Linked DNA regions of Caenorhabditis elegans. The protein of the gene in region 2 interacts with the protein of the main gene of each other region in a pairwise test. Each region holds a gene or a part of one and is shown on either strand. Other genes may lie near its edges.

The links.
Region 1: the proteins of rabi-1 (region 2) and rpy-1 interact in a two-hybrid assay, tested with the Caenorhabditis elegans proteins (2 studies listed by BioGRID).

Annotation. Positions count from the first base shown.
Region 1 is NC_003280.10:6,703,750-6,707,505, forward strand, and holds the start of rpy-1 (43 kDa receptor-associated protein of the synapse homolog), read right to left. Parts: upstream 1,895-3,756; 5' UTR 1,795-1,894; intron 1,749-1,794; 5' UTR 1,745-1,748; coding exon 1,655-1,744; intron 1,524-1,654; coding exon 1,447-1,523; intron 1,398-1,446; coding exon 1,132-1,397; intron 1,087-1,131; coding exon 939-1,086; intron 897-938; coding exon 734-896; intron 682-733; coding exon 565-681; intron 419-564; coding exon 353-418; intron 123-352; coding exon 1-122.
Region 2 is NC_003280.10:8,583,043-8,586,798, reverse strand, and holds the start of rabi-1 (GDP/GTP exchange factor Sec2 N-terminal domain-containing protein), read left to right. Parts: upstream 1-1,712; 5' UTR 1,713-1,748; coding exon 1,749-1,819; intron 1,820-2,203; coding exon 2,204-2,408; intron 2,409-2,587; coding exon 2,588-3,247; intron 3,248-3,526; coding exon 3,527-3,694; 3' UTR 3,695-3,756.

The DNA.
Region 1 (3,756 bases), 1.9 Mb from region 2:
CCTATCTGATTTGCAATTTCAATACACTTTTTATTCAATTGAATAGCTTGACATTCACATTGTCCAGTGTAATGAGATCGACTTTCAGATGCACTTTTTGCCATTGACGAGAGCACTAATACCTGAAAAACACTCAGAACTTATTAAAATTATTTTCTCACAATTCCCCAGAAATATACTCATGTTGTCTGATCTCTATGTGAGATTGTGTCAACCACAAAGCTTCAAGATTTATGGGAAAGTCGTAAAAGTTATTTAATGGGAAAAGAAATTGAGACCTGGATGTGAGCTTTTGGTTTTATGAGGTATTTGGTTGTACCAATAAATAATTGAAGGTTTTTTGGCCACTTACTTCGCCCATTTTATCATTTGCTCCGCGCATTACACGATAAGCATCTTCGTATCTTGCCCAGGATTTCTGTAAGAAAGAGTTTATTATCTAACAATAGAAAAAAAAAACTCATTGATTTCTAATACAAGTTTTAATGAAAGTTAGTTGTTATTATTAACTTTTCAAGCATAACGTTTTTTTACTGAAATAACTGAGAATTTAAAATTACTCACAGTGATAGTCTCTTTGGCTTCACTCTCTCCCAATTCTCTATAAATATCTGCTAAACTGCACATACATCTTGCATGGATCGCTCGATTACCCATCTCAACAGCTAGCTGGGAAGCTTCCTGGAATCATTCAATACTTTTTGAAGTTCTTAAACTTTAAATAAAAACTTACATCGCATGCTTCCTTGGCATCAACCAGACTTCCTTTCATCCTTAGAGCAACTGATAAATGATAAAGTATCAAACAACGATACTTTGCATGAACATCATCAACAGTAACAGATTGAACAATTGCGAGAGCATTTCGAAGAAATATCAGAGCTTTAGTGATATCTCTGAAAATAAAAATGTGTTATTTTTCATTTCTGTACGGTTACCTCAAAAGAGTAAAAAGAGATCCTAGACCAACACAAATTTGCAATTCGAGTAACCTATCCGATGTCTCATTGGCAACATTCATTGCTGACTCGAAACTTTCCAGACACTGTTGGAACTGGGACATTCCTAAGTGTGCAAGTGCTATTGCTGAAATAGCCACAGTTTTGTCTAGAACCTATTGAAAATTCTTACTTAAATGTGCATAACCAGGCGTCCTGGGATCCATCGAAGGATGTTCTAACGATGCTTTGCCATACTGGAGGGCTTTCGTGAAATCTGCTAATCGTTCATAGGCTTTTGCTAGATTCAAAAATGCCTCGCATTTCATTGCTGAATCGTTTTGATCGGTTGCCAACTGCATTTGTGATAGAGCATATGAAAGCATTCCTTCGTATTCTCCCTGGTCGCAAAGAGCTTGAGCAAGGTATCCGAGAGTGATAAACCGGTCTTCTGCATTGCTGAAAATGGACGTTATAGAAAAGAAGAGGAGTCGTCTGAAAGACTTACTTTAACCTGTTCAGAGACTGTCTCCATTTATTGATAGCCTGTGCGTAATGTCGTTGATGATAAAGTTTGACGCCAGCCTGCAGAAATAAATGTTTAAAATTGGGGAATGCCAAACAGGAATGATAAAACATTTTAAAAAACATCACAGAAGTTCGCATAAATTTTAGTTTCCGAAAAAAAAATTCCCCATATCAAAACTATTACCAACCTGCATGTGTTGCTTTGCTTGCCGCTGTCCCATTGATCGTCGATGATTCGTGATGAGATTGATGTTGTCGCGACACACAAAAACACCCATTGACCTGAATAATATTCAATAATTCAAACTTCATGCTCAATATATCTTACCTACAGACCGGCGGCAAGTAATCATGTAGTTTTTAGTGATGGCTCTTCTTTTTTCTACGTGTGTGTGAAATACGAATAAAAATTATCAATCCTATCTCATCTGAAAATTAGGAAAATTTTTATTGAAGTTTTTATTTTATAAATCTTTCGATGCAGAAAGAGAAAAATGTGCATGGTGAAAAATAAAAGAAAGAAAAGAAGAGGACAATTGATGAATAATTGTTTTAGAATCCATTTCTGAGTCTGCATGCAATAATGATGGAGTACCAGAGGATCAATTATGAAGGGATTACTGTAGATTTTATATGCTTTAGCTATTTCAGGCTCTTGCACAAAAAGTTCCACCCCACAAAAAACAATTAGCTCAAGCACATTTTGTTTGTGTTGACATTTTCATGAGACGAGAATTCTTGGATGACTTTTGATTGATATTCGAGATGAAGATGAGATAGTATGAATAGACATGGAGATTTAGAGATATAGGTGAGAAAGTGATCCATCAATTTGAGGTCATGAGACGATTGAGGAAAAATTGGTGGGGAGCAAATGAACGAAAAATGATGGGATTGGAAACGGAAAATGAGGCGAAAAAAGAGAGGGAAATTTGTGGAAGATAATGGGAAACAGATAAGAAATGAAAATGCCAATTGGATAGAATAAAAATCAATTTGAGAGAAAAACATCAGAGCAAGCGCAAAAGTGCAAACTGCACAAAATAAACTATCTGCCTACACGCATGTTTACTGGCATGACATAGAAGAAACTTTCAACAAAAAGTTAAAATGGGAGAAATGTATATCATATACAAGAGTTCCCAGCGACACTGAAAAATTGCTGTAGGCAAGAAAAATGGCAGGTAGGAAATATGGGAATAGTCCTAGAATGAACTATATTTATTAGAAAACTAACTAAACATATACTTCAACTAGAAGTCAAGTTTTGGAGTTCGAAAAAAACCTGTGTTTGTGCAATATACTTTTAGAACGAAAGGAAGTCCGAACTCAAGATAAATTCAAACTTTTAAACTTTTTTCACCGTTTACAACTCCGCCCAAAATGTTTTTTCGGTACTAGTCCCTATTTGAAATCACTCTGTCAAATTGAAATTTTCGGGAAAAAAGAAGAGTAGTACTCTCTAATGTGACCCGCCGGCTCAGGCGAGCTTCTCAGGGGAACTGAATCCAATTTGGAATGAAAAGAAATTTGGGACAAAAGAAGTGAATACGGGGAAAAAGAAAGTAGATCTAGAAGAAGAGGAGGTCTAGTACTTTGATGCACATCTTAAGGAATCCGTATTCCAAATGTTTTTTTTCTTGAGTTGCCCCAAGCTCTCCGAGTTTGGAAAAGGATGGGAAACGGAAAATCGAACTCCCATGGGAAATTGAACAGAAATTGACATTTTTGTGAAGAGATGGGTAAAGAGTTGGGACACATTGAATTGTGTGGAAGAAAACGATGAGAAGAACCGATTAGATTAGAAATATTTTTAAGGATGAAGATGAAAAAGGATTATTTAGAAAAAATAAATCAGGAAAATTTCAGTTTCGACAATAAAATGTTAAGGGAATAAAGTTCCACCTCTGGATGCCCCACTTGAAGTATTTTAAATAAACAATATTTTTAGAAATCCAAATATATTTTCAAAATAAGTCTTGATGTTTTCAGCACTACATTTTCATATCGACGTAATTTTAAAAATGAAAAAAAAAATTTCGATCAACAAGAACAGTGAGCCATGGTTTATTGTAAGTTGGAAAAAAATATGTTTCACTAACATGATTAATTTACAAAAAAATAACTCTACATTTGAACTTCAATTATAAATTGAATGTCGTGAAATAGAAAAAAAACTATTTGAAATTGAGAGTTATTAATAATTTTCTAAAAAAAAACACAATTTTGAAATAGCTTTTTTTCCTAATTGCAAAACTTTTGGTAATGCATCAAGTCATTCATCTTGTCC
Region 2 (3,756 bases):
GAGAGATCTAGACGGAGAAATGGAAGAAAACCGAAACCGCAAAATAAACACTGCGTGTTGTTCTGTTTTGCTGTACTCGTCTCCTTTTTGGAAGAAAAGTTGATGGGAATAGGTTCCAATTTTTGATTGGACAAGTATGATTCGATGTAACCCGTGCTCCATTGGCTCCACAAAGTCAACAAAAAGTCTATACTGAAGCCAATTTTGTACTTTTCACATATCTACAATGTCAAACATTTTAAAACGTTGTCTGTAACCATTTTTTCAGCTTCGGAGTATTATCTTGTGGTACTTTCGGACAGCTCTTACGAGATCTACATTTTTTTACGAGGTGACTTCGATTCTTCTTTTGTTTTTTTTTCCAAAAAATTTGTAGTCTTCTATTTTTGTTTCGTTTTTTTTCTAACTTCTTCTACTTCTTCTACTTCTTTGATTACACTTTTCTCACGAAATTTCAATTTCTTCTTTTTTCCGTGTGGTGGCTCCTTTCTTTCCTATTCGCTAACTGCTTCTTCATGAATAGCTAACTTTTTTCTTCTCTTCATTTTACTTCTTTTTCTTTTTTTTCCATTCCTTCTTTGGGACAGGGTTATTTGAAATTAGTGGTCGTATAACTAACCTTTTGATGAAAAACCAAGGACGTTTTGCACTTTTTTCATGTAAAAAAAGCGTAGAAGGACAAGCCTTTTGTTCACTTTTCATGTTTTCTAATCGAGATAACTTGGAACTTTTAGGGCAGTGTATTGCTTACTGATGTTCTATATCTAGTTTTTCGATTTTGGAAAATTGGAAATCATCGTTTATGGTTTTGTCCTCGACTTCCAGAAAACTGAATAATCGCCACTTTTTGACGGTTCTCAAGGTTACTATATAAAAGTTAAGCATCCAGGTGTCAATTAAAATGGAGTTCAGATTGCTAGCAAAAAACCAATGTCATGAGCTTTCAAAACGGAGCCGATAAAACGACAATTTTGTATAGGCTGCAGGTTTTTATTCATCTTGCAAAATGTGATATGCTCTAGATGTTTTTGTTACATACCTAACTAGAATAAGCTTTACTGTAGCTGTTTTAGAAATGAAGGTTCCGAAAACAAATAATGAATAGCATGAAATTATTCTGCTCGAGTCTCTAGCCGAGATCTAAAATTATCAAATTATTATGATCCGATGCCCCATTCGTTTTAAAGCTCTGAGGAACATCTTGCAACTTCAATTGCCCTTCAAAATTTCTCTCCAATCAATCTCTGTGTTTATGTGTTATTGTTGTTACTCTCTGGTCATAGAAGAATCTTTGTCTGTGAGCACATGTGTCATCTCTTCTCTCTCTCTCTCTCTTTTCCTGTTTTCTATCTTTCCCAAAGTTCAATCCTCATCTTCGTCGTGTTTTTTCTCTGAATCATCTGACTTTTTTCCCAGTTTTTTTCATGAATTCCCTGATATTTCAGAATCATTTCGCAATGCTTCTTCTCAACATCTTGTCTTCTTTATAATCCATTCGGGATTATAAAGGAACCTTATTCTTCCAGTCTTTCCCGCCTCCCTTTTTTACTTTCATTCCCCTTCGTTACATCACCAAAACCCGTTCTTCCTGTCTTCAATCTATCTGTATTACGTTATCAATGAAAAAAACATACATCTCCGTTTCTTTTTCATCTACAGACATCTTCTCTTTTCTATCATTGACATACATTAATACTTTACTTTAATTTCAGAATTAAAACTATCAAAGCAATACAAATTATGCAAAAATGGTTGATACAATTTCTGTTCTGAACCCAATTCATCTCGATTTGTCAGTCGATCCCCAGGATAATGTGAGGTAAGATGTTTATATTAATTAATTTACTGACAATTTGTAAATGATTCTTATTATACACTTTTATGTAATTTCTTTTAATGAAATATAATTCATTATATAGTATTTTATGACCACAGTAGTCCACATGTAACTGTGCTTCTTCTTCTCCGGTTTCATAGGTTCCTTAAAGAGTAATTTTCGTGAATCTGCGGAACGAAGTGCCGAACTTTTCATTGTTAATGCCTTGCCTTTCTTTGTGGAACACTACCATTTTCACTTTTACCCATGTTTGATATCTCTAGACTCTGGCAACTGAATTGCCTACAAAAACAATACAAATCTAACTCAACAATGCTGTCATCCCTAAACATTATTCGAGTAACTCTTTCAAACTTAAATTTTCAGAATCTCCGCCAGAAGCACAACATCATCATCTGCCTCGACATCATCCGACTCTGAGCTAATGAGTCCTAGGGCTGAGGAGCTTTTGAGAATGCAGGCTGAGCTCAGAGCAACACGAACGGCGCTTGCTGAAAAAGATAAAAAGATGACACAAATTCAAGTGACAGTGGATGCAGAAGTTCAAGAACTTACTGAAAAATTATTTCAGGTAAGACCAGTACAACTCCGATCCTGAGAAATTAGCTTATAAAAATTCTCGATTTTGATTTTCAAAATTTCATAAGATAATTTAAATTTTTAGAAAGTTGACCAAGTAAAAAAGATAAGAATGATATTGAAAACCGATGAAAAAGTCTCAAAACTCCCATCACATCTTCAAGTTTACAGGAGGCGTACAAAATGGTAAACACAGCAGAAGCTCGTCGTGAGAAAGCAGAAAAACTACTAACCGAATCAAGACTTGAAGTTGAAGTTCTTCAAGCAGAAGTACGTGCATTGAAAGAATTGATATCTGCTCCAGGAATGGGTCAAAACCATTTCAAGCAGACAACATCTCCAGAACATAAATCAACTTTATCAAAACTATTCAATGGATCAAGTTCATCATCAAAAAAACAAAAAGACGCTGCAAATGTATCAGATAAAAAGAAAGCTTCATCACTTCCATCTACATCAACATATACACTAACACCATCAGAAGATAGAGAACAAAAAGAAGCAAATGCAGTTGAAGAGATCGATCCAATTCTTTTTTCTGAATTTGAATTTTGGAGAGAAGCTGGACATCCGACGACATCTCATCCATTTATTGATAGAGTTACCGTTGAAGAAGTTGAACCATGTATGCTATTCGAAAACTCTGAGTTATCAGAAGAAATAATGAAGGCAATTCGAGAGAATCGTGTTCAACTTGAACCATTAAATGAACTGAAACCATCTGTAAGGATTTGTGCATTAACAAATGCTTCAAGGTTTTGTCCGTATCGAGTAAGAACTGGTGATGAGGAACAAGAATGGCATTATGTTTCGTTAATTGCCAGGAATAGGGTGAGTTATTCCACTTTTCTTGGTCTCGGAACGATTGATAATTTTAATTGAGACTGCCAAAAAGGTGCGCGCCTTTAAAGAGTACGGTAGTTTTCACTTCTCACAGTTTTGCCATTCTATTCGTTATTTTCTTTCGAAACCCTTTACTTAGAAAACGTAATAGAAACTACCTTACTCGTTAAAGGCACACTTTTTTTCGCAACCTGAATTTCAAAACTTTCAGTCGTGCCGAGACCTGGTACCGTAATCTTGATTTCTCAATTAACTCAAGATTTACAGATTGCCGCAGTCTGTGACTTCTTCACGTGTATCCGATACTTGTCCCAAGGTTTGATCAAACCCGGGCCTCGAGATTCATATTTTCACGTTGTAAACTTGCGGAAAAACATGTCACTTGCCAAACTGGGGCTAGGATTTGTCCCGCGTTCCAACATACGCCATCATTGAATTAATAGTATTTTACCATAATTTGAAACTACAGGTCTTTCACACTTTTTATACAAATAAAT